Saccharomyces cerevisiae S288C: one gene and its partners. The protein of the gene in region 2 binds, or shares a complex with, the protein of the main gene of each other region. Each region holds a gene or a part of one and is shown on either strand. Other genes may lie near its edges. A codon is read from its position in the direction of its gene.

Region 1 (3,318 bases), on a different chromosome or scaffold from region 2:
ACTATGATTTGATATCAGAAGAGATTCAATCAAGAATAGCACTGTGCTTGATGAGAAATATGAAACGGACCATGGATTCGACTTTCCAGTTAGATGAATTGGATTCGCAAGATGATTTGCTATTCGATGGCTCTTTAGTAACTATGACCGCTGAAAGTGTTTTAGAAAAACTGAACTTGTTAAGCGATAAGAGTACAAAGGTCAAAAAAGACACCACGAAGAGATATTTGCTGAAAAAATATATTGAAAAGTTCCATATCTTGCACCATAATGTTCAGCATACAATAGATACTATGTTCGAAAAAAGGAAATCAGGTGAATTGCCATTGCAAGAAAAAGAAAACCTTGTAAGATTACTCCTTTTGGAACAAAACTTATGCAATATACTAGAATTGTTTTCGCATAATCCGAATCTGAATGATGTCCTTGGATCCAGCAGGGATGATTCGAAGGAAAGTGTTGACTCCAGCGAAGATTCAAAATTACCAGCATTGAAGCACGTTGAATCCGGATACCATGTTCCCGAAGAAAAAATACAACCTGAGAATGATGTAATTACAGCAAGACCACATTTAATGGCCACCGATTCTGGTAAAACTATTGACGTTTTCACAGGCAAACCATTGGTGTTCAAGCATACATCATCTAGTACTTCTGTAGGTTGTAAAAAGCAGGAAGAAGAAGAAGGTGAACTACATAAATGGGGTTTCTTCGTTCAGCAGCAGAGGTCTTTATACCCTGAAAATGAATCAACAAGGCAGACACCTTTTGCATCAGGTGATACGCCTATCAACACAGAAACAGCTGGTAAGTCAACTTCATCTCCTTCAGTTTCAACTTCTAACAATGAAACTGCTACCACTAGTTTATTTAGCCCAGCTAATCCTAAGATTTTACCAAAAATTCCATCCGGTGCTGTCTTAAGATCGGCAATCATGAAGGCTAAAGGTATTGATTCTATCGATGATTTGATTCAGAACGTTAACTCCAACAACATAGAATTGGAGAACATTTATGGTGAATCCATTCAGAATAGCGCTTCGACATTTACACCAGGCGTGGATTCTGATGTATCTGCGCCCAATACCGATAAAGGATCCGTAGAAACATTGCCTGCAGTCTCAACTGACGACCCAAATTGTGAAGTCAAAGTCACTGCTACCTATGACAAACTATTAAATAATTTGTCGATGGAGAGGTCAATCAGACTTTGAAGATACATGAATCCTTCTCTTCACTGATGGATCCATTTTCTTCTTCCTTTTTTTCACTGCATAAAACTTTTTTTATCAACCTTTCATATTTTCCATATTTATTTATATATACCGCCAGTAAATTTGGCGATATTCGATAGACTTAACAGATAAACTTTTTAAGATGAATTAAAGCACAGAGGATTAAGCTTACCTCTTTAGAATCAATTGATATGTTCGGCTACATATTAGACACTGCATATAACCCAAGGCGGGTAAAATATGAACAATTTCAATTGGGCTTTGTAAATGCTTACTTTTAAATGTAAACGAAGCTCATCAGAAGAAAAAAAACAAGAGATTTGGAAAAGGCTACTTCGACCTCAATAATTTCTCAGCCTATCTTTCTAATGTCATTACCACAATGGTGTCCACCGCATTCCACCTTAAAAAGAAATCCAACTACAGGAGAGGACGTATACTGCATATGTAAAAGGCCAGACTATGGGGAGCTGATGGTGGGATGTGATGGTTGTGATGACTGGTTTCATTTCACCTGCCTTCATATTCCTGAGCAGTTTAAGGACCTGGTGTTCTCTTTTTATTGTCCTTACTGTCAAGCGGGGATTACTGGTAAGAATAAGGACGCCATAATCAATGGTGAAGGGAGCTTGCCAAAAACCTTATGGAAAAGAAAATGTAGGATAAGTGATTGCTACAAACCATGTTTACAGGATAGTAAATACTGTTCTGAGGAACATGGTAGAGAATTTGTGAATGATATTTGGTCGCGATTGAAAACAGATGAGGATAGAGCAGTCGTCAAGAAAATGGTCGAACAAACAGGACACATAGATAAATTCAAGAAATTTGGACAACTGGATTTCATTGATAACAATATAGTTGTAAAAACAGATGACGAAAAGGAAATATTCGATCAAATTGTTGTACGAGACATGACGTTAAAAACTCTTGAAGATGATCTGCAAGAGGTTCAAGAGATATCGCTACCATTATTCAAAAAAAAGCTAGAACTTTTGGAAGTATATTTGGGATGGTTAGACAACGTATATACCGAAATGCGCAAGCTGGACGATGATGCTGCAAGCCATGTGGAATGTGGTAAAGAAGATTCCAAGGGGACAAAAAGGAAGAAGAAGAAAAATAGCAGCAGGAGTAGGGCTAGGAAAAATATATGTGGCTATTGTTCTACATACGAGCGAATACCCTGCTCTGTGGAAGAATTTGTCAGAGATTTTGGAAGTAATGAGGAAGCCACCAAAATACATGAGGTATGCACGAAGTGGAAGTGTAACAGACATTTGGATTGGGTGTCTACTAATCAGGAACAATACCTCCAGCAGATTGACTCTTTAGAATCTATGCAAGAAAGGTTGCAACATCTGATACAGGCCAGGAAAAAGCAACTAAATATACAATACTATGAGGAAATTTTAAGAAGAGGTTTGTAACGGCGTTGGAGCCTAATCAAATATCAGTTTCTACATATATATATACTTCGTAGTGATGATATATCAATTGGAGCGTCCTTGCATAGGCAACGCCTATTTGGATAGTCTTCAATTTCGACCCCATTTCACGTGAATAAAGCGGAGCTATCTCTGTTTTGCAAGGGTTCGGCCGATTTTGCTGCGAAATTTTAATAAGCGCATATTGATTTTTTCAAGCAATACTTTGTATATTCATGATCGAATGAATGAAAAAGCACCACTCCTCAGCCGCATACCTTCAGTATCGTATTTATTTCCTTCTTTAATCACTTAAAATGAGCACTTTAGATATTGCAGAAGACAACAAAATAAAAAATGAAGAATTCAAAATTTGGAAAAAATCAATACCCTCATTATACCAACATATTTCAAGTTTGAAGCCTATCTTTGGCTCAGGCGTTGACGAATCTCCATCGACACTTAGGAGTATAGTTTTCACTAACGATAGCTCATGTAATAAATCCAAAGGTGTTTTGAGCGTACCACTTTTATATTCTCAAGGGAGTGAAATCTTTGAGGTGGATTGTATAGTGCCACTCGGACTTCATTACAAAAAACCTGAAAGCATTTCAGAACCGTTAGTACAACCGGATTATACCATGGAATCTCAAAAG
Region 2 (3,275 bases):
ATCGTTTATTCCTAGCGTTTCTGGAGTGCTTCCCAATCTTGAAATCTGAAGGGTTGAAGCAAAATAGCCACCTATGTACCATTGTGACATCATTTGGGTAGTAAATGGACCATGAATCTGTCCCTGCGTGTCTATGTACCTCCAACTGGATTCAACTGAAACTGGTGCTGGGAGTTGTGACATTCCGTTCATGCTCATATTAGGAGGAATATCAGAGGACGGAAACAAATTGACATGAGATTGGGCAGCAGTTGGTGTACTTAATGGAGTAATATCTACCGCCAATGAATGTGTACTCAGATTCACTCCAAGATTAGCAGCATAACTAAAGGAGGAGGAGGACTCGTTTCTTTGCAATAGTGGATGCTGCTGAACAGGCGTACTAACCCGTGATTCAGGATGGTCGCCGTGCCAAAAAGAGGAACTCATTACTCCCGAACTTTGAGGAATAAAAGGCTCTTTCATAGAAGAAAATGGTGACGCAGCACGCTGTATACCAATAGAATCGATTAAGGAAGACGTCCTACTGAGTGGATGTCGACCTCCTAAAAGAGGTGTATTGGATCTAAACGTCGATCCAGGGACTGTATTCACGCTTGCAGCAACAGCACCGTTTGTATTGTTATTAACGCTCGCAGGGGAGGAATCCAGGATAGTAGAAACACCGTGTGTGTTATTGTTTTCTGTATCGACTGAATCTAGTTTTAAGTCCTTAAACTGTTCATCAAAGGAACCGAATAATCTTTGCGAGTCTGGTGCTATCATTATTGATGTGGGCTGAGAAGTTGAGTATATAGGGGAGGAGGAAGGAAGGTAAAAGCTCAAGGAGTACGAATGGAAATGATGAACTCGAAGAGACCACTGAACTGCGTGTGTGGGTATTTGTAGTATTGTGAAAAGTTCCAAAAGGCCCATCAAATCAAATCAACCTATAAGTGGAAATATGAAAAATTTTTTTTTTTTTCAGTGCGACTGAAAAAAAGGCATAGGGTAATTGCGGACTATATAGGACACTAAAAATATAGTGTGGCACAACTATGTAGTATAAGTATTACGGCACTAATCTAATCTTTTCAATGGTTTACGTGACAGATGTATAAAGAAATTGAGAGCAATTTTTAAATGCCTAATTGTTTTTCGATTTTGCTGTGGACGTCATCACCTACCATGGTGCTGGCTTGTAGGCCAGTACCAGGGTAGACGTCCTCCCAATCGATGCTGCACTCTTTGTTCAGTAGTATGTCACGGTGTATACTACCGTTTGTTGAAAGGGGGTTGAAGTCGGTACGATTGACGATTTCCATTTCCATCGTCCTTTTCATTGGTTCGGCAATGCCAAATATTTGTCGATACTGTTCCATTTGTCTTTGGCGCTGTGTGGTTTCCCAGTTCTTCAATGTTGATTCTAATGGATGTCTGTCATTCAATTGTGTGGAAAGAGGTACTGCACCGCCTTCTTGCTGGCGTAATGTGTCTGGCAAGGAGGGCACTGCAGATGAAAGAACACTTTTGTCTTGATCTGTAGAGACTTGAGATTTAAAGGTATCTTGTGGGACGATATTCATAGTTGGTATGCAGGCTGTTTCTGGTCTTGTCTATTTAATACTCATTCCCTCTCCAGTGAGCAGGAAACTACATAATATACTTTAATAACCTCAGGTAGGATAAAATTGCCACTGCATGGTTACCCGAGGAGTGAAAAAAGCAAGACCATAAGAAATGCTTGTGCATCACTGGCGGTAGATATTGGAAAGTTTGAGCGTAGGCTCATTCATTTGCAAGTGGCCATTATATGCTAACATGTTCCAGTTTGTTACTCCTGTGGGAACACAGAATGGATTGAAAGCTACTTGTGCGAAAATATCTCCTGATGGGCAGTTTCTTGCTATAACACAAGGACTTAACATCCTGATATACGACATTAACAGACGAACTGTATCACAAACACTAGTCACATCACATGCCAGGCCTTTCTCAGAGTTATGCTGGTCTCCAGATGGACAGTGCATAGCTACTGCATCGGATGATTTTTCTGTGGAAATCATTCATTTATCTTATGGGCTGCTGCACACTTTTATCGGCCATACAGCGCCAGTGATATCTCTGACATTCAATAGAAAGGGGAACTTGCTGTTTACATCCTCAATGGACGAAAGTATCAAAATATGGGACACACTGAACGGGTCTTTGATGAAAACAATATCTGCACACTCAGAAGCAGTTGTGTCGGTGGACGTACCCATGAATGATTCATCCATTCTGAGTTCAGGTTCATATGACGGGCTCATACGGATCTTTGATGCAGAGACGGGCCATTGTTTGAAGACATTGACCTATGACAAGGATTGGAAAAGAGAAAATGGTGTGGTACCCATCTCCCAAGTTAAGTTTTCTGAGAATGCAAGATATCTCCTGGTGAAATCGCTGGACGGTGTAGTGAAAATATGGGATTGCATCGGGGGTTGTGTAGTTCGTACTTTCCAGGTTCAGCCTCTTGAAAAGGGCGTACTGCATCATTCCTGCGGTATGGACTTCTTAAATCCTGAAGATGGATCCACTCCTTTGGTGATCAGCGGTTATGAAAATGGCGATATATATTGTTGGAATTCTGATACAAAAAGCCTCTTACAGTTGCTCGATGGTTCTTTATATCACCACAGCAGCCCTGTAATGAGCATACATTGCTTCGGTAATATAATGTGTTCCCTTGCATTGAATGGAGATTGCTGTTTATGGAGATGGGTTTAAAGAATCTGCGTTATGTACACGACAGACATTCCCTTAAGGTGTAACACAAGAGTATATATAGATATATTATAGACGTTTAAAAGTTTTAAGGGATCGGATTTTCAGCCAGATATTTTTTACTTTATTCTAATTTTTTTTTTTATTTTTCACTGCTGCTGTCTTGCGTGATGAGTAAGATATCCTAAAAAACTACTAAGGGAAGTTCGGGCAGCTTTCAACATTAAGTGTTCACATCTCGAAGAACTCGCGCCTTAAACCAGCCTATACAAAAGCTTAGTACAGATTACCTACTGCATTGATAGCTAGCATCTGTCTTGTTAATAAATTAGCTTGCCATAAAATTAGGGAAATTTTTACTCACAATATGAATATAATGAAAAGACAATTATGCACCTCCTCTAAGCGATTTTTTTCTACAGCAAAAAACGTTGTCAAATATAATACGATTCAGGATATCAGGAACAAATATTTTACTGGTACGCCTTTGTCGATGTGTACTGCGTATGACTTCATTACTGCAACATGGG
Region 3 (3,758 bases), on a different chromosome or scaffold from region 2:
GTTATAAAGGTTCTGTTAATGCCAAATCCATTTCAATTCTTTTCTTCCAAATATTGTACTGGTCGTCTGTGACCAAAATATTGGTGGTTTGTAACATCGATCCCAGTTTCCTAAATATAATTTCATCGTATCTGATGCCATCAAAATCATCATACCTAATTTGCAAATCTCTGAACCATTTTTCACCGATAATTAATTCCTTCACTAATTTTACACATTCAATAACATCATCCACTTTTGACGTCAACATCAAGCTGCACATCTTACTGACTATAAAATGGTCAATTCTTGGATCCTTGCGTCTTCTTTCATTAAATACAATGAATGTACAATTTAATACTAACCCACACACTAATTGCCATGGGCAAACCAATCTTGACGCGTTTATGTTGTACTCATCCACAATTTTATATGCTACTTCTCTTGGTAATTCAAAATCGTTGCAAAGCCGTATTATTTCTTCAGTAGTCATTTTGCAATACTTCTTTACTAACAAAGAATTTGGTATTCTGCCCCTTTTCCTCAGGGCTTTTGCCGTCTTCAATTCTGATTGCGGTTTTCCAACTGCCTTATTTTGTTTCGTTCTCCCGCTTCTGCTTTCTTGCACACCTAATGGCTCTTCCTCACTTGTAGGGTCACTTTCATGGTTTTCATACTCATCAGAATCTACATTTCTGGTTCCAGTAATGCTCTTATTACTATGGCTTTTTAAAGACAAACCGTCGTTTCCTGGTTCCTCTTCATCCTCATCCTCATCCTCTTCAAATGCTAACTTTCTCCTAGTAATAGACGGCGATTCATTGGTTTGCATGGGGGGTAGTTCTGGTATTACGAACGAATCATTATTTTGGCTTTTCCTAACTTTAGTTGGTGTACCAAACAGTTGATTCCTCAACTCTTTCGGATCAGAAGAAGTAAACCTCCCACCGTTCTTTACTGGACTGCGTTTGTTCTTTTTGGGGCTCGGTGTCCAAGCAAATTGTTTCATAGGTGAAGAATTAGATAAACTTTGTCTGAAAAGGTTCATTAAATGCTTGGCTTTTTTCGGCTCCAAGGGAATACTGTCTATATAATAGCAAAGGTCAGGCATGTGTTTTTCATTCATTTTCTGTGACGCTATGTATGCACATATGTGACATCTAGCAACCTCTTCATCTTGTTTCAGCATTACCTTGTTCAGTGAAGTATTATATAAAATCGATGTCGCATTAGTCAACTTCTTCAAATATCCGCTCGACCAGTCCGGTTTTTCTTGTGGATCTAGTCGAAGTACTTCTGCGACACAATGTTGGACTTGTTGCATGGACATGACTGGTTTTAATGGTATTGTTTTGGCCAATTTTATTTACTGATATTGTACACTTTTTTCTGCAATTTTAGTGTGAGATTTTTTTTTTCAATGCCGATTTCTTACTAACGTAAACAACGGCAAAGAACAAAGAAATACACAGTTTTATCACAAAGAGTTGATTTTTGCTGAAGAGAAGCGTGAGGAGTGTATTCGAAAGCCTTGCATATTCTGGACACTTGCGATTCTAGCTCTTTACGGACGCCCGCATTCTTTTTTCATACTCTGTTTCGTGCTGCTTTCACACAATATTTTTCAAAAGTTTCTTCTCATCGTTTTTCTGTTAGCAACCCTCAACTTACGAGAGAGTTGCGACTAGCATAGGTAACATTCCTTATTTGTTGAATCTTTATAAGAGGTCTCTGCGTTTAGAGAATGTCAAATTACTATAGAAGAGCACACGCGTCTTCTGGTTCATACAGACAACCCCAGGAACAGCCTCAATATTCGCGTTCTGGTCACTATCAGTATTCAAACGGCCATTCTCACCAACAATATTCTAGTCAATATAATCAACGTCGACGTTATAACCATAATGATGGTACAAGGCGACGCTATAATGACGATCGCCCACATAGTTCAAACAATGCAAGTACGCGACAGTACTATGCTACTAACAACAGCCAAAGCGGCCCATATGTAAATAAGAAATCTGACATCAGTAGTCGGAGGGGCATGTCTCAATCACGGTATTCAAATAGCAATGTTCACAATACATTAGCGTCTTCGAGTGGATCTCTTCCCACAGAATCTGCTCTGCTTTTGCAACAAAGACCACCTTCAGTTTTGAGATACAACACAGATAATTTGAAGTCTAAGTTTCATTATTTTGATCCCATAAAAGGCGAGTTCTTCAATAAGGATAAGATGCTTTCGTGGAAGGCTACAGATAAAGAATTTTCTGAAACAGGTTATTACGTAGTCAAAGAGTTACAAGATGGACAGTTTAAGTTCAAAATAAAACACAGACATCCGGAGATAAAAGCATCCGACCCACGTAATGAAAACGGTATCATGACTAGCGGAAAAGTGGCAACCCACAGAAAATGCAGGAACTCACTAATTCTATTGCCTCGCATATCTTATGACAGGTACTCCTTAGGGCCTCCCCCTTCATGTGAAATAGTTGTCTATCCAGCGCAAGATTCAACAACAACCAATATCCAAGACATATCAATAAAAAACTATTTTAAAAAGTATGGAGAAATTTCTCATTTTGAAGCATTTAATGATCCTAATAGCGCTTTACCTTTGCATGTTTATCTTATAAAGTATGCCAGTTCTGATGGAAAAATTAATGATGCAGCAAAAGCAGCCTTTAGTGCCGTTAGAAAGCACGAATCTTCGGGTTGCTTTATCATGGGCTTCAAGTTCGAAGTGATTTTAAACAAGCATTCCATTTTGAATAATATCATTTCTAAATTTGTTGAAATAAATGTCAAAAAGCTACAGAAGTTACAAGAGAACCTGAAGAAGGCTAAAGAGAAAGAAGCAGAAAACGAAAAAGCAAAGGAATTACAGGGCAAAGATATTACCTTGCCCAAGGAACCTAAGGTAGACACATTATCTCATTCGTCCGGAAGTGAAAAAAGAATTCCATATGATCTCTTGGGGGTAGTTAATAACAGACCTGTTTTACATGTCTCCAAAATATTTGTTGCCAAACATAGGTTCTGCGTTGAGGACTTTAAATACAAGTTAAGGGGATACAGATGTGCGAAATTTATTGATCATCCAACTGGTATCTATATTATTTTTAATGACATTGCCCATGCGCAAACATGTTCGAATGCAGAGTCAGGAAATTTAACAATAATGTCTCGGAGCAGAAGAATTCCTATTCTAATAAAGTTTCATCTCATTCTCCCTAGGTTCCAAAACAGAACTAGATTCAATAAATCTAGCTCATCTTCAAATTCTACAAATGTACCTATAAAATACGAGTCCAAAGAGGAGTTCATTGAAGCTACAGCAAAACAAATATTAAAAGATTTGGAAAAGACTTTACATGTTGATATTAAGAAGAGATTGATTGGTCCTACGGTATTTGATGCTTTGGACCATGCAAATTTTCCTGAATTGTTAGCTAAAAGAGAACTAAAGGAGAAAGAGAAGAGACAACAGATTGCATCTAAAATTGCTGAAGATGAATTGAAACGTAAAGAAGAAGCCAAAAGAGATTTTGATTTGTTTGGTTTATATGGTGGCTATGCAAAATCTAATAAAAGAAATTTAAAAAGGCATAATTCACTCGCGTTGGATCATACTTCTTTAAAGAGGAAAAAGCTATCCAATGGTATCAAACCAATGGCACATTTACTGAACGAAGAAACCGATTCCAAAGAAACTACCCCATTGAACGATGAAGGGATCACTCGCGTATCAAAAGAACATGATGAAGAAGACGAAA

Evidence for each region.
Region 1: the proteins of SWD3 (region 2) and SPP1 are in contact, whole or in part, in a cryo-EM structure (PDB 6BX3), measured with the Saccharomyces cerevisiae proteins. Residues at the interface, in NP_009734.1 of Saccharomyces cerevisiae: Thr49 (codon at 1,945), Leu50 (codon at 1,948), Ser85 (codon at 2,053), Tyr86 (codon at 2,056), Gly87 (codon at 2,059); in NP_015187.1 of Saccharomyces cerevisiae: Lys206 (codon at 2,219), Leu332 (codon at 2,597), Arg336 (codon at 2,609), Gln339 (codon at 2,618), Gln343 (codon at 2,630), Glu346 (codon at 2,639).
Region 3: the proteins of SWD3 (region 2) and SET1 are in contact, whole or in part, in a cryo-EM structure (PDB 6BX3), measured with the Saccharomyces cerevisiae proteins. Residues at the interface, in NP_009734.1 of Saccharomyces cerevisiae: Lys15 (codon at 1,843), Thr52 (codon at 1,954), Ser53 (codon at 1,957), His54 (codon at 1,960), Ala55 (codon at 1,963), Arg56 (codon at 1,966), Pro57 (codon at 1,969), Ser59 (codon at 1,975), Glu60 (codon at 1,978), Asp75 (codon at 2,023), Asp76 (codon at 2,026), Phe77 (codon at 2,029), Thr96 (codon at 2,086), Ala97 (codon at 2,089), Pro98 (codon at 2,092), Ile100 (codon at 2,098), Met116 (codon at 2,146), Asp117 (codon at 2,149), Ala136 (codon at 2,206), His137 (codon at 2,209), Ser138 (codon at 2,212), Glu139 (codon at 2,215), Tyr159 (codon at 2,275), Asp182 (codon at 2,344), Trp183 (codon at 2,347), Glu186 (codon at 2,356), Asn187 (codon at 2,359), Val190 (codon at 2,368), Gln194 (codon at 2,380), Leu209 (codon at 2,425); in NP_011987.1 of Saccharomyces cerevisiae: Lys812, Ala813, Gln817, Ile818, Leu820, Asn821, Leu824, Phe825, Asp826, Ser827, Gln830, Gly832, Ser833, Ser834, Phe835, Lys836, Ala837, Glu838, Phe840, Arg841, Lys842, Lys848, Arg944, Trp950, Lys986, Asn987, Gly988.

The regions. Positions count from the first base shown.
Region 1 is NC_001148.4:290,713-294,030, reverse strand, and holds SPP1 (Spp1p), read left to right. Parts: upstream 1-1,603; coding exon 1,604-2,665; downstream 2,666-3,318. Other genes in the region: protein phosphatase regulator GIP3, read left to right, coding at 1-1,214; UME1 (Ume1p), read left to right, coding at 2,980-3,318. UniProt on the Saccharomyces cerevisiae protein: Component of the Set1C/COMPASS complex that specifically mono-, di- and trimethylates histone H3 to form H3K4me1/2/3, which subsequently plays a role in telomere length maintenance and transcription elongation regulation.
Region 2 is NC_001134.8:580,608-583,882, forward strand, and holds SWD3 (Swd3p), read left to right. Parts: upstream 1-1,800; coding exon 1,801-2,748; downstream 2,749-3,275. Other genes in the region: SMY2 (Smy2p), read right to left, coding at 1-765; UMP1 (Ump1p), read right to left, coding at 1,119-1,565; ECM31 (3-methyl-2-oxobutanoate hydroxymethyltransferase), read left to right, coding at 3,113-3,275. UniProt on the Saccharomyces cerevisiae protein: The COMPASS (Set1C) complex specifically mono-, di- and trimethylates histone H3 to form H3K4me1/2/3, which subsequently plays a role in telomere length maintenance and transcription elongation regulation.
Region 3 is NC_001140.6:344,320-348,077, forward strand, and holds the start of SET1 (histone methyltransferase SET1), read left to right. Parts: upstream 1-1,723; coding exon 1,724-3,758. Other genes in the region: ORC6 (origin recognition complex subunit 6), read right to left, coding at 2-1,309. UniProt on the Saccharomyces cerevisiae protein: Catalytic component of the COMPASS (Set1C) complex that specifically mono-, di- and trimethylates histone H3 to form H3K4me1/2/3.